4 linked regions of the Caenorhabditis elegans genome follow. The protein of the gene in region 3 interacts with the protein of the main gene of each other region in a pairwise test. Each region holds a gene or a part of one and is shown on either strand. Other genes may lie near its edges. The genes, in order: gpi-1, clik-1, abu-11 and arle-14.

The links.
Region 1: the proteins of abu-11 (region 3) and gpi-1 interact in a two-hybrid assay, tested with the Caenorhabditis elegans proteins (one large-scale study listed by BioGRID).
Region 2: the proteins of abu-11 (region 3) and clik-1 interact in a two-hybrid assay, tested with the Caenorhabditis elegans proteins (one large-scale study listed by BioGRID).
Region 4: the proteins of abu-11 (region 3) and arle-14 interact in a two-hybrid assay, tested with the Caenorhabditis elegans proteins (one large-scale study listed by BioGRID).

The regions. Positions count from the first base shown.
Region 1 is NC_003279.8:13,574,465-13,581,950, forward strand, and holds gpi-1 (Glucose-6-phosphate isomerase), read left to right. Parts: upstream 1-1,683; 5' UTR 1,684-1,823; coding exon 1,824-1,926; intron 1,927-2,190; coding exon 2,191-2,311; intron 2,312-3,143; coding exon 3,144-3,436; intron 3,437-4,038; coding exon 4,039-4,889; intron 4,890-5,853; coding exon 5,854-6,125; intron 6,126-6,845; coding exon 6,846-6,966; downstream 6,967-7,486. Other genes in the region: nyn-2 (Zc3h12a-like Ribonuclease NYN domain-containing protein), read left to right, coding at 1-177, 798-1,046; ubc-14 (Ubiquitin-conjugating enzyme E2 G2), read left to right, coding at 7,246-7,288.
Region 2 is NC_003283.11:6,765,254-6,770,410, reverse strand, and holds clik-1 (Calponin-like protein OV9M), read left to right. Parts: upstream 1-1,909; 5' UTR 1,910-1,958; coding exon 1,959-2,042; intron 2,043-2,805; coding exon 2,806-2,954; intron 2,955-3,008; coding exon 3,009-3,280; intron 3,281-3,328; coding exon 3,329-3,502; intron 3,503-3,555; coding exon 3,556-3,679; intron 3,680-3,955; coding exon 3,956-4,307; intron 4,308-4,359; coding exon 4,360-4,425; 3' UTR 4,426-4,643; downstream 4,644-5,157. Other genes in the region: srh-30 (Serpentine Receptor, class T), read left to right, coding at 1-22, 408-521, 569-642; T25F10.1 (uncharacterized protein), read right to left, coding at 1,625-1,909.
Region 3 is NC_003280.10:191,986-196,186, reverse strand, and holds abu-11 (Activated in Blocked Unfolded protein response), read left to right. Parts: upstream 1-1,628; 5' UTR 1,629-1,652; coding exon 1,653-1,727; intron 1,728-2,372; coding exon 2,373-2,591; intron 2,592-2,639; coding exon 2,640-3,209; intron 3,210-3,271; coding exon 3,272-3,595; 3' UTR 3,596-3,678; downstream 3,679-4,201. Other genes in the region: T01D1.8 (ZP domain-containing protein), read right to left, coding at 4,148-4,201.
Region 4 is NC_003281.10:5,691,010-5,694,435, reverse strand, and holds arle-14 (ARF7 effector protein C-terminal domain-containing protein), read right to left. Parts: upstream 1,487-3,426; 5' UTR 1,423-1,486; coding exon 1,366-1,422; intron 1,318-1,365; coding exon 1,222-1,317; intron 1,182-1,221; coding exon 857-1,181; intron 783-856; coding exon 646-782; 3' UTR 501-645; downstream 1-500. Other genes in the region: B0336.13 (Transcription initiation factor IIA small chain homolog), read right to left, coding at 102-388; abi-1 (SH3 domain-containing protein), read left to right, coding at 1,730-1,858, 1,906-1,991, 2,038-2,479, 2,971-3,426.

The sequences.
Region 1 (7,486 bases), on a different chromosome or scaffold from region 3:
TTTGTGTCATCAGAGGATTATCGCCAGAGAAAAATGAAAATAAATTATTCAAAACCGTCGGGAAGGATCATTACGCCGTGCTTTTTGAATGCAGAAGACCGGTTATTGGTTTTAGATCCAACAATTCGGTATAGAAAGCCTGGAGAGAAGACGTATACGGTTATTTCGTCGGATCGGGTAAGAATGGATCACACACTACAAACTACAAATCGCGCTGAGCCTCACCGAATTATCAATTTTCGGGGATTTTTTTTAATTGAAAAACGCCAAAATGTGGCATTTTTTAAGGAAAAATTGTGAAAATTATTCTCAAATTGCCGAAAATGTATAAAAACACGCTTTCAAACAATTTAAACACTTGAAAAATGGTTTTTAAAACACTTTTATTATTAACTGGAAATTGATAGTTGAGGCTCAGACACTACAAACTACAAATCGCGCCGAGCCTCAACAAATTATGAATTTTTCTGTCAAAATGCAGTTTTCACTGGAAAAGTGCACTAAAACTCGATTTTAGAAATGTGAATTCGAAATTTTAGATAAAATCTGTCAAATTTCATTATATTCGCTCTAAAAAGCGTTTTTTTTTTAAATCAAAATCGTCAAACATTGGAATTTTTGTGAAAAAAATCATGAAAATTCTTTTTAAATTGCCGAAAATTGAATGACAACACGTTTTCGTACGGTTTTTCACAAAAAAAACACTTGAAAAATTATGGCTGAGGCTCAGACACTACAAACTACAAACCGCGCTGAGCCTCACCAAATTATAAATTTCAAGTTGTTTTTTTTCTCAGATCCTCCAATTCGATGAGCCCGACGACGAACGTATCAAGCTCAGCGAGCAACTGTACCTCGACCAACAAATCAAACTAATTTGCTCTTTGTGCCAGCTCTACCCTGTAAAAATGATTAATAAGGTGGCCATCAAGCAGCTTCTGGAGCTCGTCGTCTTCGCCGGAGCCGATTTCGAGATGCCTGGAATGAGCATAGAGGACTATGAAAAGCTGTACGATCGTTATGGACGCGAAGCGTTTTTTAACTAACGATTTTTAAAAATATTTCTTATTTGCCATGTATTTTTCTCAAAATTCTCACCCCAAAACCGGTTTTCCTGTAATATTCGCACTCCCTTTTTTCACTGGTTTCTGTTTCAAAATGTAATATGTTTCTAGCTGTGCCTTGACTTGTAATATTTTATTTGTCAAGTGGATTTTCCATTCAGCTGAATACTTTTTTTCAGGGAAATTTTCATTGCATAACCCCGATTTTCGTGTCGTTTTTAACAGAATATTCCAGTTTTGCAAAAAAATTAATTTGTTTAATGAAAAACAAATTAGTTTTTCACTTTCCACGTGGCCTGTTGGTTGAGGCTGACAAAAATGTGTAGTTTGTAGCCTCAACCAATTTGTCAGCAATGTACAGCGACTTTCACTTTCAAATCATCATCAGGTATTAGGGTAAAAAATCAGAATAAAAAGAAACAACAAGTGTTTTCCCGTGTCGTTTGATCACAGGAAAATGCGCAAAAATATCGATTTTTCTCTCCTTGTTCATTGATGTTTACGATTTGTTTATTATATATTTCGGTTTACTCCCTGAATTATGGCGTGGTTCGGCGCTTATAGTTAGAGAACACGCCATTCAAATTTTCGATTGGAAATTTTAATCATTTTGAACGAAATTTCGTGTGTATAATTTAAAGAAGAGTTACTTGAAATTCTAGACTTGTAAAGTTTTGCATTTTTGCGCGTGCACCTTTAAAGAGCTACCGTAGTTTTACAGTTTTAACCGGGAATATTTGATTTTTCCCAAATGTTTCGATGATTTTCGAGCTTTTTCGCTTCATTTTTCGCAAAAAAAAAATGCTCGGCTACCTTTCTGACCTAATTGGCACGCTTTTCATCGGAGATTCCACCGAAAAAGGTATGATTTAATGTTTTAAACTGGAAAACTGCTTTTAAATAAGCTTTTTAATGCAAATCTCTGCGAAAAAGTTCCCGAAAATTGGTTATAACCACACGTTCCTCAACTTCTCTGCTCCTCTCTCATCCCCCCGTCGAAGCAAAAAAAAATCAATAATTGCGTCAGAGTGTGTGCGTGTTGTTGTTTTTTTTGCATTCTGCACGTATTCAACAAAGCTCTGCAGCAATTTTTCCGTGATTTTCCCTCAAATTTTTCGTTTTTCAGCCATGTCTCTGTCTCAAGACGCCACATTTGTTGAGCTGAAACGCCACGTGGAGGCCAACGAGAAGGATGCTCAACTTTTGGAGCTTTTCGAGAAGGATCCAGCTAGATTCGAGAAATTTACGTGAGTTTCCGCAACTAAAAATGTGAAAAAATGCCTGATTTTTGCTAAAATCCACGTGGTTGAGGCTCACACTACAAACTACAATAAATTCTGAGCCTCACTAAACTTGAAAATTCACAGGAATCAACTTAAAAAAGTAGATTTTCGCTGCAACCCACGTGGATAATTTGACCAATCAGGCTGATACTACAAACTACAAGAAATTCTGAGCCTCAACTATTATAGAAATTCACGAAAAAGTTGATTTTTACTGCAATCCACGTGATTTTCGGTGCGATAATGGTGGTTGAGGCGCAGGCTACAAACTACAATTTGCTCTGAGCCTCACCAAATCTGGAAATACCTGAATTTTTCTGCAAATACGTGGATTTTCTTTTGGACAAGTTGGTTGATCTTATCCTGAGCCTTATCCATCCTTGAAATACGCTGAATTTCACGAAAAAAGTGTATTTTTACTGCAATCCACGTGTTTTTTGGTGCGGCAAAGTTGGTTGAGGCGCAGGCTACAAACTACAATTTGCTCTGAGCCTCACCAAATCTGGAAATACCTGAATTTTTCTGAAAATTCGTGGATTTCCGGTTGAACAGGTTGGTTGAGCTTATCTTGAGCCTCATATATTCTAGAATTTACAGAAATTCACGAAAAAAGTTGATTTTTGAGTGATAAAATTGGTTGAGGCTCAGAGGCTACAAACTACAATTTGATCTGAGCCTCACCAAATCTGGAAATACTCAAAATCCACGTAGAACGCTGTTTTTTGCTGCAATCTAGCCAAATTTTCCCAAAAAAAAGCCAGAAATATACCCAAATAATTTGGAATTTTTATTTCAGCCGCCTCTTCGCAACTCCAGATGGCGATTTCCTGTTTGATTTCTCAAAGAATCGTATCACTGACGAGTCATTCCAACTTCTGATGCGTCTCGCCAAGTCACGTGGTGTCGAGGAGTCCCGTAATGCCATGTTCTCCGCCGAAAAGATCAATTTCACCGAAAATCGTGCGGTTCTCCACGTGGCACTCCGTAATCGTGCCAATCGGCCAATCTTGGTCGACGGAAAGGACGTCATGCCTGATGTTAATCGAGTTTTGGCTCATATGAAAGAGTTTTGCAATGAGATTATTTCGGGTTAGTTTTTGTAAAGATGACACGTGGATTTCTAAACATTTTGCCACGCTTTTAAAATTATAATTCCATGAATTTGGCTAAATTTCGCTTATTTTTCGAAATTCTCAGCGATTTGAAGCCCGAAACTCCAAAAAATCACAAAAAACAACACCGAGTTTGTTGGTAGAGGCTCAGTTTTTTGGTAGTTTGTAGTCTCTGAGCCTCAACCAAAAATAGTAAAAATTTAGAATTTTGAGTGAGGCTAATAGATTTTTGTAGTTTGTAGTGTGAGCCTCAACCAAAAATAGTAAAAATTTAGAATTTTGAGTGAGGCTAATAGATTTTTGTAGTTTGTAGTGTGAGCCTCAACCAAAATATTTAAAATTTTGAATTTTGAGTGAGGCTGAAAGGATTTTTGTAGTTTGTAGTGTCTGAGCCTCAACCAAAATAGTGAAAATTCAGAATTTTGAGAAAATCCAACGTTATTTTTTTTGAAAAATTGAAATTTTTGTTATTTTTGTCTGAAAAACTCTAATTTTTTCTAATTAGTCTTCTAAAAAATCACTTCTTTCGTGGCAAAATTATGTAGTTTGTAGTGTAAACCTCATCCAATCATATTTCAGGCTCATGGACTGGTTACACCGGAAAAAAAATCACCGACGTTGTGAACATCGGAATCGGAGGATCAGATCTAGGACCACTCATGGTCACCGAATCGCTGAAAAACTACCAAATCGGACCGAATGTGCACTTCGTGTCGAACGTCGACGGAACCCACGTGGCAGAGGTCACAAAGAAGCTCAACGCCGAAACAACACTGTTCATCATTGCATCAAAGACATTCACAACTCAAGAAACAATCACTAATGCTGAAACAGCGAAAGAATGGTTTTTGGCAAAAGCCGGAGATGCTGGAGCAGTTGCTAAGCACTTTGTCGCACTTTCAACGAATGTTACGAAAGCTGTTGAATTCGGAATTGATGAGAAGAATATGTTTGAGTTCTGGGATTGGGTTGGTGGGCGATATTCCCTTTGGTCAGCTATTGGACTATCAATTGCTGTTCATATTGGATTCGATAACTATGAGAAGCTTCTCGATGGTGCATTTTCTGTTGATGAGCATTTTGTGAATACTCCATTGGAAAAGAATATTCCAGTTATTCTTGCAATGATTGGTGTACTCTATAATAATATCTATGGTGCTGAGACTCATGCTCTTCTTCCTTATGATCAATATATGCATCGATTCGCCGCATATTTCCAACAGGGAGATATGGAGAGTAACGGGAAATTTGTGACACGTCACGGACAACGTGTCGACTATTCGACTGGACCAATTGTTTGGGGAGAACCTGGAACTAATGGACAACACGCATTTTATCAGTTGATTCATCAGGGTACTCGACTGATTCCAGCGGATTTTATTGCTCCGGTTAAGACGTTGAATCCGATTCGTGGGGGATTGCATCATCAGGTAGATTTCAGTGAGGCTGAGAGGCTACAAACTACAAAAAACTACTGGTCCTACGTGGATTCTCCAAGGACGAACAGTTTTAGGTTTTGTAGAGAACTAATCGAAAAAAAAACAAAAAATTTCGATTTTATTTTTTGAAATAAAAAAAAAAAAACCCCGGATTTTGAGTGAGGCTGAGGGGCTACAAACTACAAATAAACCAATTTTGTGGGAAAACCCGATTTTTTTAAAACAAAATATCGGAAAATCGGATAAAACATTTTTTTTATTTCCGATTTTCCGAAAAAAAATGCCACGTGGATACCCGCATTTTGAGTGAGAGACTACAAACTACAAAAATGACGGATTTTTGGTGCTTTTTATGCCACGTGATGGGAAATTTTTCGTTTTTTAAAAGAAATGTTTTTAAAAAAACGAGAATTCTAATTTTTTTTGAAAATAATGGAAAAATAAGAATTTTAGATTTTTTTGAAAAACGAATTTTTTTTTTGAAAATTCAAATTTTAATATACTTTTTCAGAAGTAAGCGAAAAAACGAATATGTTAGATTTTTTCAAAATTTTTTAACGAAAAATGTTCATTTTTATGTGAAAAAAACCTCTCTTGAAAGATTGGAACTTTTCTGAAAAGGAAAAACTCAAATTTTTTTGAACCATTTTAGAGAAGTACCAAAATTGTGAATTTTTGCCATAAATTACCCATTTTTGCCACTTTCTAATGTTTTTTGACGGGTTATACCTAGTTTCTCTGAATTCTGCATATATGAATTACCCGTTTTCAATGAATTTAGACAACTTTTTATTTTTGCCCATTTTGATTTTTCAGCCAAAAAATAATTTTTGCTGAAAACGTTCAATTGTTGAGAATTCGGAAAAAGGAGAGATTTTTTTGGTTCCCAATAAAAATAGAAAAAGTAATTTCCGGTTTTTTTTGTAGTTTGTAGTCTAATGAATTAAATTTACAGATTCTTCTCGCCAACTTCCTCGCTCAAACCGAGGCACTAATGAAAGGAAAGACTGCCGCCGTGGCAGAAGCCGAGCTGAAATCATCTGGAATGAGCCCTGAATCGATTGCAAAGATTCTTCCACATAAAGTGTTCGAAGGAAATAAACCGACAACTTCTATTGTACTTCCAGTTGTCACACCATTCACATTGGGAGCATTGATCGCTTTTTATGAGCACAAGATCTTTGTTCAGGGAATTATTTGGGATATTTGCAGTTATGATCAATGGGGGTACGTGTGTGTTGCATATGCACACTACAAACTACAAAAATCGATGTTTCCACGTGGTGTCAGGCTGTCCTATTACGGTTTGATCTACAAAAAATTCGGGAAAAAACCATGCAAAATCAGTTGAGGACTATGCGTCTCTTCTCCCGCATTTTCTGTAGATCTACCGAAGATCAAACCGAAATGAGACACTCTGACAACACACGTGTGTATCCAAATTGAAATCCACGTGAATTTTCTGATTCGTTGAGGCTCAGAGAATTGTTGTAGTTTGTAGTCAGGCCCGAAGTCGGAAAAAAGTTTGGATTACTATTCCAGAATTAGATATTTACGGAATGTAGTTGAAAATTTTAATATTCACATGGCATTTTGGCTTTTAAAGACTGTTTCAAAATTGGTTGAGGCTAACAATAATTGTAGTTTGTAGTGTGACAGCCTCAACCAATTTTCGAAATTCAAAAAAGACATTAGTTATAGGGTTTCTACAATCCACGTGGTGTACTGTTTCCGGTTTTTGAAAATTAATTGAATTAAAAAATGTAGTTTATAGTCTGAAATTAAGCCGGTATTTCGAAAAACCCTGTTATCCACGTGGCATTTTAGATTTTATCGTAATTTCTTGATTTTAAATATTTTTGGTGAGGCTAACAAAAATTGTAGTTTGTAGTGTGACTGACAGCCTCAACCAATTTTATTATCGATCTATTATCAATTTTCTTACAGAGTTGAGCTCGGAAAGCAATTGGCAAAGGTTATTCAACCGGAATTGGCATCAGCGGATACAGTAACCTCACATGATGCCTCAACCAATGGACTCATCGCGTTCATTAAGAATAACGCATAATTTATATGGAAATCCCCAAAAAAAGGAGATTTTGCTAGTCATTTTGCACCGCCTGTAGCCACTTTTTTAGTTGAAATTTGGTCAGTATTCCCCACCCAGTTCCTCCCACGCACCCGTTTTAACTCATGTACTATATAAAATAGATTGCATTTTTCTTCAAATATTTAATTTTTAAAATTTTTTTCTGGATTTTTGAGGTTAAAACACCCTAATTATTTTCATTTCCTCAAGTTTTTACTCAAAAATTCAACATTTGCAATTTTCCAGCTTCTCTCGATAATGGCTGGTTACGCTTTGAAGCGGTTGATGACAGAGTATAAAGGTAATTATTGATGGTTGAGGCTCAGCGACTACAAACTACACATTTCCTAGCCTCACCCATTTTTTTCGTAATAAAAACGATATTTTGTGGTTTTACACTAAAAATTTTAGTTTAAAAAAATAAAAAGAAATTTGAATTTTTAATATTTTTCCCTGAAGAGTTAAATTTTTGACTGATTTTTCAGAATTTCACAGAATT
Region 2 (5,157 bases), on a different chromosome or scaffold from region 3:
GCAAATTTGATTACGGATCCAAGTAAGTTTCTGGTTTGTGCGCGGCTTGGTTACGTGAATGATTAAATTTCTATTTGCAACTTTTATGCAATAATAGAGCTAAATTTGTTTACATATTAGGTTATCAGTTCCGTGTTAAAATTCATCTGTTTTTGCTGCACATCGATTTCAATCGACATATGTGAATTAATGCTATCCGGTTTGTTTTTCCACTCACTTTCAGTCAAACTCATAATATTATGAAAATTTTAAAAATTGTTTAAACAAATCGATCATAATTTTTTTAGCTGATGTGCTTTCTGCCCGAATATTTTTGTTAAGTGGTTAAAATCAATTGATCAGAAGTTTGATTCGAATAGAGCAATTCTGAAAGATGGAACATTTGTAAAAAATCTATTGATTTTCAGGGATAATCCCAGCATCTCTTATATTCGGCTTATGTCATGGAGCAGCTACCACGCTAGTTCACCTGTTATCCAACAAGCCATTTCGCAGCACGATGAAAGCACAGCTGTTATGGGGTAACAAAACTTTCTACCGTATCATACCTGGAAATATCTTTTTTCAGTCATAAACTGTGTGACGTGTTCTCGACACTCATCAAGCAACAAAGTGCATACACTGTCTTCAATTGTTCAATAACTTGAAAAATCAAATGACAAAAAAAAACGCACATTCAATTCTCATTTATTTGTTTGTTTCATCACTTTTTCTCCACCCTCACTTTTCCGCAACGATGAAGACGATTTACAATCCACGTTATCCCAATAAAAACTTCTCGTTTTGCGGCTGACAAAGAAATTGAATGCACATGTTTTAGCCGCGTGTTGTACAACGAGAAGATCTCTCAAAAAAGCAGAGAAGAGCAAGAGGAGATGAGGGAAGAAGGGGGTAAAAGTCTTAAGTGACAGGGATCGAGTATTGTGTGATCAGCAAGGGAAAGGGGAGCAACACAGAAAAAAACGTATGTAATAGAAAGAAAAACAGAAAACATGAAAAAAGAAACCACAACAACAATAACTCAACATTTTGGAAAACCTATAGACAAAAAATTAACTAACTACGTCTAATACACTGTTTGAGCATTCGTTCAGCTTGAGCATGCCTTCAGGCGGTATAGGCAATTTTTAAAATGATGTAGAGCTTTTAATACTGTAATTATTGACTTTTCTAAATGTGTTTGTTTTGCATTCTAAAATTTGTTGAAATGAGATGGTATTAAGTAGATATCATTACGCCCCTCTTGGGTGGAATTTCTAGTTCTGAAAAATCACGTAATTCTTGCAATATTTATATTCTGTCCTGTAAAAATCTCAATTACGAAACCAAAACACCACAAAATTTACATATAACACCCTCCATCTTACATCTAGATAGAAATATTATAGGATTTTCGAGGGATTCCCTGAGTTTTCATGTATTTTTTGTTCCGCTCGGCATGCCACATTTCATCTAGATTGGCATCTGTTCTCACTCGATCTGGAATCCTTCGTAGATTATCGCTCTTCTAACATTTTTCTTCTTTATCTGTTCTTCTTCTCTATCCACTTGTTTTGCTCCTCTTTTACTCTCATGCCAAGTCTACATAGCTGCCCCCGAACCACATTCATCCACGGGAGAGAGCTCACTTCTTCCTTCCCGTCTTCTTCTGCCGATCCCATCGTCGAAACATTACACTTCCGTCGGAGACGAAGACTTGGTGAGCATCGACGAAACACGCCGAGAAGTCAAGAGATTCCAAGAATATTACATTCGGGAAGATGCCTCCTGGTTGATTGTGGGCGACGTCTCTCTCGATTTCGATATCTTTTCCTCCCGCCGCCGCCACCGTTGCCGTCGGGAAGGATGTGGCAGACTCCGCCCACCTACTTTGAGCGATCGTCGAAGGCACTCCCAAGTTGGCCCTCATTCTGGGACGTGTTTAGGTCTCGTATCACTACTACATCGCATTTTCAATCATGTCTGACGTCGAAGACGAGTACGAAGATGAGGAGGAGATCGAGGAGGACGAGCCAGTCGCCGACGAGAACCAAGAGCCAGAGGTAATCGTTTTTTGCCATTTTTCGGCTTTAAATTTTTTTTATTCTCTTCATATTTCTAATAATTATCACTATCGTGGTGTTTATTCCATTTTGACCGTATTTTTCTACAAAACTTTAAAAATGCCGACTTACGTGCCAAAAATGCAAGCGTATTTTTACTTGACTTAAGTTTACTTTGCCGCGAGTAAATTATAACTATTACAATTTTGAAATTATTTCACTGCAAAGTAGGCGTAGGTTTCTCCGGCGAGTTATGCCTACACACAAGCTGGTAGGCATTTTTAAGCCCTATGGCATTCACCACTATTCTATTCTGAAATTAGATCCACTTCGTAAACTTAAATTTTTGTAAAAAAAGTCCTTCGTTAGTGTAACCGTTTTGGAACTAGACTTTACTATTTTACTATTTACTATTGAGATTTACTATTTTTCAACCTCCCCCACCTATTTTTTTTTCTCTTGATGTGTTTTGTATCTTTTCAAATCTTGTTCTTACCTAGTTCCAAAGTTCCCAGTTCGAAAATATTTTCCTCATCGATGCCTTTGTCATTCTACCGATGGCACCGTTGTAAAGTGAGGGAGCTCCCCAAACTGCTCACCTAACCTCCGCATTCTTCTCACTATTTTCCCGCATTACACAACTTTGACGCCATTCGGCGCAATTTTCGATTCTAGTTTGACAATGAATGATAATGGTAGTGAGATATAGATTTGATAGATAAATGAACATTCAGTTTACACGAGTTTTATTGAACATTTATAGGCTGAAGAGCCAGAGGCCGAGGAGGAAGCTCCGGCTCCGGCCGCTGCCTCCCCAAGAGCTGCTGCTCCACCAGCGTCTCTCAAGAGTCCAACACCAGGAAGACAACAAGTCAACTTCACTCCAAGCATTCCACAGAGTGTTTTGAGAAAGTAAGAATTTTACTGAATACTTCGAGGAAAAGTAATTATTTTGTTAAATTTTAGGCAACAAAACTACTCATCTGGAAAGCCATCAACCATCCACACCAAGGAAAAGTTGATGAGATCCGAGGGAATTATCCCAATTCAAGCTGGATCTAACAAGTATGCTTCCCAGAAGGGAATGACCGGATTCGGAGTTCCCCGTGACGTCATCGACAAAGTTAAGTCTGATAACTTGGCTGAAATCACTGACGAGAAGAAGATTGCCAACCTCAAGGGATCCACCTGGCTTCAGTCCGGAACCAACAAATTCGCTTCCCAAAAGGGACAGTCCGGTAAGATCTGAACCTTCAAAATTATTTTAAACTGCTTGTTTTTTCTAGGCTTCGGAGCTGTTCGTGATGTCAACTACAAGACCAAGGGAACCGGAGGAGCTTCAGAAGTTCCAGAAGAGAAGGCACGTGCTTCCGATGGAATCGTTCCACTTCAATCTGGAACCAACAAGCTCGCATCTCAAGCTGGAATGACCGGAATCGGAATGCCACGTATTGTTGATGGTAGGTATACAACAGAGAATAATTGTATAAAGTTTATGAATTGGCATTTTCAGTGAGAAGGACCAACGACCAGGATCGTGACTCGCAAGGATTCATTCACCTTCAGATGGGAACCAACAAGTTTGCCAACCAAGCTGGTATGACCGGATTCGGTATGCCACGTCACAACATCACCAAGTAAGATTTTTTGAAATTTGGTTTCTGGTGAAATAGGATTACAGCCTTGTTAGGTTGCCTGAACATTTTCTAATAAGTATTTGGAACATCTGGCACGATTGAAATAGTTTTAGAGTTTTTTAATGTGCTCAGAATAGAGGCTTACTATTGGAATTGAATTTGTAAGAACATAAACTTAACTAAAAACTATTTTTTTCCAATTCATAAATTTATTTTTTATACTATTTGGAACTTACACTTCTATATAACGCTTTTATAAAATTAAACATATTCTAGGTACAAGGACGAGGTTCGCGGAGACATGCCACACGACGAAGGAACCCTTTCAAGACAGACCTCTGGATGGAAGGAGGGAGCTTCGCAAGCCGGTATGACCGGATTCGGAGCCTTCCGTAACAACACCGTCGCCTTCATGCAGGCTCAAGACCAACGATCACAGGGAATGATTCCATACCAGATGGGAGTCAACTTCCTCGAATCACAAGCCGGAAAGACCGGATTCGGACAGCCAAGACAGGTGTACACTCCATTCACTGACGATACTCACGAGGATCTGCCAGCTGATATCGCCCGCCGACCGGATGTTCCTTTCTGGACAGGACAGAAGGAGGCTGATCATGCTAACCAGGTAAAATATTATTTCTTGTTTATGCTCCAACTAATTCTCAAAACAATTTCAGACCGGTATGACTGCCTTCGGTACTCCACGTGACGTCCGCGGAGAGTATGTCCGTCGTATGTGGTAATTACATCTTCCATTCAAATCCATCCAAAAAACCATCATCTCCACCCACATGCTTTTTATATCCTTTTTTCTTTGAATTATTTTTTTTTTGAATTCTTACAATTTTTTTGAGATTGTACTATAATAAAACTATGAGCCTTGCCTTTCATCCATGTGTTACTTTAACTTCAATTTAGTTTTGCCGAGATTAGAAAATGAATCTGATTGCATCGAATTTTCTGGAATTGAAAAAAAAAACTTAAAATAAGGGGAGATTAAAGCTATAATTCTGTATTTATTTGGTTTATTGGTGGGTTTACTTTTAATTTTTCTTAATGACTTGTAGTTTAAAGGTCTAAAACACAAAATATCACTATTTAATAGAATGCTATAATATATTTGTTTGTAGTCAAAAAGCTGTAAAAACTCAGTTTTCACCTGTAATAATGTTGGAAGTCAAACAAAAATATTCTTTCTATGTATTAGGTTTTTATTTTAATTCCGTGTTGTTTTTTCGTATTTAAGTATTCCAAAATAACATCGACCAAAGTATATAACCAAGTAGCTTCTTGGAATACTCGTAAAGTACTCACATTTGTTTTTTGCTCTTTGTTCATATAGCAACCCGATATCACTGAAAACTTTTCCATCTCATCATTAAAAATGCTCACAATCTAATTATATGCACTCCAAAATTATAAGTTAACTCTTCGTGAAATACTGAATAACTTCTACATATACGCGGATTAATTAT
Region 3 (4,201 bases):
GCAAATTTCTCAGTACCCCTTGATCTTTTGTAGAACTGCTCATTCACAGCATCTAATCCCCCCACACGTCTTAACATAATTAGCATTCCTACATTAGCTACTACATGTGTTGATTATTTGTCTAACAAGATAGAGATAGTGTATACATACTTCCGCTCTCATAAAGACCGGTCATTTTCCGTGCTCATTCTCACTCTCGCAATGTTCTTCCCACACCCTTGATCCTAAGGAAACATGCTCCTCAAGAATAATCTCTTGAAAAGCGTGAGCGATTGTGGTAACAAAAAATCATGAGTATCAATGAAAACAATTCAACGGAATTTGGATTTGGGTGGGTGTGAAGGCGCTGTAAAAAAATGTAATATGAATTTAAGACCTCTATCTGCAAAAAGGTACAATGTAATTTTACAAAGTATTCAAGGTTTCCCTTGAAATAATTTTATAAAAACATTCGTACTAAATATCGAAAACTGCACCAAAACTATTTGCCGAGTGGATTTATCAGTTTCCCGCAATATTGGCAAGACTATCAGGTTATATGATATGATATTAGTATGAGTGCACCTCCACAAGAGTAAAGATGCAATGACTAAGATCAAAAAATTCCATTCCGCTTTGAGCACAAAAAAGATTCAGCGCTGGTAAACTAGTTCTCACCAAGTTTAGAACATCAAACAATTGACGCAATTTGTAGGTCATAGACTGGCAGGTTTTTGATGTTTTACATGACAAGTTTGAGAATAATGAAAGCAATCTTCATACATTTTAATAACTTTTTAAAGAGTTTTTAACTGATATCTTCCTAGAGCAACAAAAACAGCTTATATTTGCAAACATAACCATTTAAAGTTGAAAATGATACTTTTGCCATTGGGTTTTGAATTTGTCAAAATCTTGTTATTAATTTATTTTACTCATGTAGTTTCTAGAAAACATGTCATTCGTCCTGAAACCCCATGGAGCATACGTTATTGTCCTGTCAGAATGTTATTACGTAATATATTACTCATGACATTTACACCATATACAAAAATCTATTTATTTGCAAATATGTTCCATGATTATTTTCTGAGCAACAACAATTATATCATAGTCTAGACTTCACAGGGATAATTAATGTTGTTGGGAAGAAAAGTAAGAACTTTAGAAATGGTGATTGACCGAGTGAACTCTCAAATATCTATTTTTGTCTTTGTAATAACTCTATGAGTAATGAGGAATGAGGAACTGAATTTGTGACTGCAAATTAATCAGAAAGATTATTTAAAGAAGAAAGATATTTTGCTGTAGTTTGTGATGGCTGCTGAAAGACCACCGGAAGACTTTTGACATCGACCAAGTCCTGAAAGATCACGTCCCTCCAGTTCTTCAACTGTAACCCTTGTGAATACTAGAAAGTAAAAAACAAAAAAATAACAACATGTCAACATAACAACACGCCCTCCCCCTCTTGCTCTGCTCTTCCAAACACATGAGCACACACACACACAGGCACACGCAAAAAATTTGGAGACGCATCACTCGAAGAAACCGGAATTTGGGACAGAGGTGGTAGTAGAGGAGAGGGGGCGATGTTTAACTGATTGCAACGGGAAGATATATAAGCAAGAGCATGTATTGGGACAATCATCACTCACTCTGACAAGCTTGAAATGAACACCAAATTTTCAATTCTCTTTTCGCTTTTGGCGGTTTCAGCACTTGCGGTGGCTGCTGAGGAGAATGTGGTATGTATTATTTTTATGAATCTAATTATAAATATTTCATTTGTTCCCCTTTTCTAACTCTTATATTATAAATACTTATTTTTTAATTTTAAAACATTTCGTGCTCACTCACAAGCAATTGCATAACTTGAATATGAATTAAGTAAAATATAGGAACTTCTTAATATATGTTTCAAATAGTTTATCGTTTGACTTCATTATTTTACTACTGAAAATTTAGCAACAGGGGAGTATTTTGAGCTGCAAAAAAGTCGTTCTGAAAAGTTTTCAATGAATTTTTCACAACTTTCGAACTATCGAGGGCAGTAAAAATGTGCCAAGTGTGAATTTTTGCTGACTTTCAAGAGCTTCTAGCATGTTTAGGAGCTGGCTAACAATCGTAAATTTTTTTGGAATTTTTAATTTTTTGAAAAAATCTGAAATTTTTTCACTCAAGGGGTTTTTCTGATTTTCAATTTTACGGGCTTCTAAAGTAATAAAAAAAATACACTAATAGCAACTTCAGATCGAAATTTTTCTAGTTCTAAGTTCTCCTCTGCCGCTTAATTTTTTTTGCAAGGGCCTATTTAGAAGGTTTTTTGCAAATGAGATATTATCCAGAAGACTAAAAAATTAAGTTGAAAAATTAAGTCGTTCCTTTTTCAGTTCCTCCGCGCTCGTCGCCAATCTTCATGTGGATGCGCCATTCCAGCTGCTCCACAATGCAACTGCCAACCAGCTCAAACCAACACCGCCCAACAATCTTGCTCCTGCGCTCAAGCTCAACAGCCATCAAGCTGCGGATGCGCTCAACAGTATCAGCAACAACAGTGTGCACCAACTTGTCAGAGCTCCTGTGAACAGAGCTGTGTTGCCCAGCAACAGGTTAGTCAAACCAAATTCAACCCAGTTAGCCATTTCATATTATTTAAGCCAATCGCCCAGTGCCAATCATCTTGCTCTTCCACTTGCCAGTCCGCATGCGCTCAGCCAGTTCAGCTTCAGCAGCCAGCTCAGCAACAGTGCCAACAAGATTGTCAAGCTGCTTGCCCACAACAACAACAACCACAGCAACAGTGCCAGCAGCAATGCCAGACGACATGTCAATCCGATGATCAGTACTCTCAACAATTGATCCAACAGCAAACCTACGCTCAGCCAGGACAAATCCCAGCCTACACCGGAAGATCCGAGTACAATACTGCCCCACCACAACAGCAACAAGCCAGTCAATGCAATACCTGCCAAAACTCGTGCCTTAACACATGCCAGCAGCAACAGCAGCCAGTGCAACAGTGCCAATCATCATGTGATCAATCGTGCCAGCCACAATGTGCCACGCCATCTGGCTCCGCTTACAACCAAGTCAACTACCAGCCACAGGCCCAGAACAACTACCAAACCAACAACAACTACCAACAGCCAGGAGCCATTCCATCATACCAAGGAGCTTCCCAGACTGCTGCACCAACCTACCAGCCATACAGAGACACCAATGTTCAGGTAACATATTAATAGTATTACTTCTAAATCTAGATTTAAAGAAATCCAACCTAAATTTGTAGGTCGGAGGAACCATCTCCCAGTGCAACACTTGCCAAACCCAGTGCAACCAGGAATGCCAAGTCCAGCAGACCCCAGTGAACCAGTGCGCTCCACAATGCGACGCTCAATGCCAGCCAGCCTGCTCCCCAGCTGCTCCAGCAGCTCCAGTTCAAACGCAACAACAAATTCAGCTTACCATCAATGTTCCAGTTGCTCGTCAGTCCCCACAGTGTCAGCCACAATGTGAGCAAAGCTGCAACACCCAATGCATTCAGCAACAGCAACCAATCTCGCAGTGTCAGCCAGCTTGTCAGCAGAGTTGTTCGGCTTCCTGCAGAAAGTAAATTAACTTTAATTATTAATTTTTGGGAAAAAATAACTTTGTGATGGTTTTTTGTGTATATTTTGATAAATAAATTGTTTTCTACATATGTTCATCTCCTGCATCATACATCTTCACTAAATATTTTATCATTATTATTCCCTCTTGGGATGATAATTACAGAGAAATTTCTAGAATAGAAAAATTTATGAATCATTCAGTCATGTAAATTTTAGCTTTCAATCTCTATAATCTGCGGAACATCTATCTTCTTTTTTTTCTTTTCCACTCAATTTCTGAAACTGAAGTTTTACCACAAAAGCTAAACCCACCAATTACGTGTTATATTTGAAAAGCGGTAAGAAACTTAAAATAATGAACGGTCATCAAGGGTGTTACCTGCGTCAATAAGGGTTTTCGGTGTTTAATTCCAGTCTTTTGGGAATATTAGTTGTTATAGATTTTGACACAAAAAACCTCCACGCAATAATAATTAAACATTTCGTACATAAATCCTGCGTGTGAAACTTTTTGAAAAATTTTATTAGACAAAATGTTTTATTCATATCATATCTCAATTTAAATATCTCGAAAATCGTCGTTGGTTTCCACATCGAGGCCTCTGACA
Region 4 (3,426 bases), on a different chromosome or scaffold from region 3:
AATTATAGATCATCGAGAAACAAAAATTTTTATAGAAAATTAATAAACAATTGCTTTTTTCTAGATTTTTTATTTTTAATACAAATAAAAGAAACACTCACTTATCAATAGGCTCATCAAACGATCGCTGGGGATCTTTCAACGTGACATTATTGAGAATAAACGTCCAAACGTTATCACAATATCGATAAGTGAGCAGTTGTGTCGCACAAAAATTCATTTTCTCTTTTGGAAGCCGCGAGATTTGCTTGTTCATGCTTTTATCAAATTGTTGCAGAACTTTCGAAGCAAGAGATTTCGTGAGAAGTCCTTCGGATTCCATGTCCTCAAGAGTTTTATCGAGTGCCTGACCCAGTGTGGTCCCTCGGTAAAGAGCGTATGACGACATTTCTGGAAGATTCTGAAATATCGTTGGATTAAATTTTTCTCGAGAAGATGCCAGATATATTTTCAGATTATCAACCGAGAAACTATGGATTAGTATGACAAAAAAGAACAAAAACAAACAATATCTTTAGTTTTTAATGAACATCGAGATTGAATTTTTCACAAAGACATGTATAAAACAGTTCAAAATAGATAATACCAGTACAAGAAAAAGGGGAACATACATAAGAGGTTAAAATTGATAAAACGATAAGGCATTTAATCCTTGATTTGGCCCGGAAAATAAGGATTAATATTGACAACAGGGCCCGGGGCTTCCGTCACTGTGTACATCTCCTCGACGCGTATCACCATTTCTTTTCGATTTTGACGACATCCGATGAGACATTTGCGAGCTGAAAAATGCATTTTTCTTTGTTTAAAGAATTTTTAGAACAAATATTTTTAGTTAATGAATATCATCTCTTACATTTGCACTGCTTACATGGCCAATGGCACCCATCACACTCCACCACGAGACAATCACAAAGATCGAAAAACAAAGTCTGTCCTTTTGCGGTAACCGAAAGTTTTCCTGTTTTGTCATGATGCAAAGGTTCGTCTCTCAGATCCGCCTGCTTCTCCGCGGCTACACGTTTCGAGCGGTTGGTGCTAATAATATCCACAGAGTCGGGCAAAAATCGAGACATTTCATCTCCTGGATTCGCGAACTGGAGGCCTTGAAGCTCTCGGTGTGCCATTCTCGTTCGACGGCTCGTTCCTGAACTTTCCTTTCGAGATGATGGCTGCAACTTCTGGGAACTTTGTTAAAATTTTCTTTATTCAAAAGCGTACCTTTGTTTCGAAATCGTCAAAAAGCTCCGCATCGACTTCATCGCAAATCTCGGAATCTTGTTGCATTTCACTATCCGTCGAGAAATCATTTTCAAGCTGAAAAAAATACAAAAATTAAATACATTAAAATTTCAAATTTCAAACCTCTGCTGCAGCTTTCGCCAGACCGGCAATTTGTGCGAGAACGTCATTGGAGCTCATTTTTAGAATTATTGGTTCAGAAATTTAGTAGGAAATATGATTTATATCGATTTAATTTGAATATATCCGAGGAAATTCTATTATTCGATATGCTCTCCTCGCGGGAAATAACATGTGCGTACCACTTGCGAAAAAGCGCGCCGCGCGTTGCATTCTGTGACCACGCCCTCATTAATTTCTTATTCATTCAGTTCCTTTGAGTGTTTTTCATGAAATTTCTGCTGTCAATTTATTATTTTTAAAATATTTTTCTAAACGTTAGTTAACTTTTAGTTTGTTACAGATGCTACATAATGGGGAAGGCGGAATGAGTGTTAATGATCTTCAAGAGCTCATCGAGCGACGGATACCCGATAATCGAGCTCAACTGGAAACGAGTCATGCGAATCTTCAACAAGTTGCCGCGTATTGTGAGGATAATTATATACAATCAAACGTGTGGTTTAATTTTTTCTTTTAAGTTTATGAATTAAACGTTTTCAGAATAAATCTGCTGCGCTAGAGGAATCCAAGAAATTCGCGATCCAGGCACTCGCCAGCGTAGCCTACCAGATTAACAAGATGGTTACGTAAGTATTTCAATTAATTTGTTTTAATTATGAATCTTTTTTTCAGAGATTTACACGATATGCTTGCTCTACAAACCGATAAAGTGAACTCTTTAACAAATCAAGTTCAATATGTTAGCCAAGTAGTTGATGTACATAAAGAGAAGCTTGCAAGACGAGAAATTGGTTCTCTCACAACCAATAAAACATTATTCAAGCAACCCAAAATCATTGCACCAGCAATCCCAGATGAAAAGCAGAGATATCAACGAACGCCCATCGATTTTTCTGTTCTTGACGGAATAGGGCATGGTGTCAGAACATCGGATCCACCGAGAGCAGCACCAATCTCAAGAGCAACTTCATCAATTTCTGGCAGTTCTCCATCACAATTTCACAATGAATCTCCAGCGTATGGAGTTTATGCTGGTGAACGAACGGCTACGTTAGGAAGAACAATGAGACCGTATGCTCCATCAATTGCTCCATCGGATTATCGGTTGCCACAGGTGAACATTTGAAATATTCATAGAGGCTGAAAATAATTTGCTTTTCGTGTTTTTGACAAAACGTTTTCAAAAAAAAAAGGGAGCGAAAAATTCTGACATAACTTATACATTTTAAATTTTAAACTTTTTTTTCTGAAAAATACACTCAATATTGAAAAAAAAGTGAACCATTGATAAATTTATTCAAAAAACGGTTTTTTTGACCCAAAACGACCGCATTTCATAATGAGACTTCTGAAAATATCGAAAAAAAATTTAGAGCGAGCCTGAATAAGAATCTGAAATCCTTGTTACAGCAGTTAGATACAGTATTTATTGAATAATCACATAATTAATTTTGAAATTTTTTAGAAGTCTTTTTATGAAATTCAATGTTTCAGGCTAGTTTTTGTCGACTTCAGACTAAACAACTAATTTTTAAAAAATCAGCTCATTTCCTTTTCAAAAAATTAATCAAGTTTTTTCTAACATAATCCGATTACTTTTTACAGGTCACACCACAATCAGAATCACGAATCGGCCGTCAAATGAGCCACGGATCAGAGTTCGGAGATCATATGAGCGGTGGTGGTGGAAGCGGAAGTCAACACGGATCATCAGACTATAATTCCATTTATCAACCTGATCGTTACGGAACTATTCGAGCTGGTGGTCGGACTACAGTGGATGGTAGCTTTTCTATTCCCAGACTATCATCTGCACAAAGTAGTGCTGGAGGTCCAGAATCACCAACATTCCCACTTCCACCACCAGCTATGAATTATACTGGATATGTTGCACCGGGAAGTGTGGTACAACAACAACAACAACAACAAATGCAACAACAAAATTATGGAACTATTCGAAAATCAACGGTGAACCGACATGATCTTCCACCTCCACCAAATTCTTTGCTCACTGGAATGTCAAGTCGAATGCCAACACAAGATGATATGGATGATCTACCA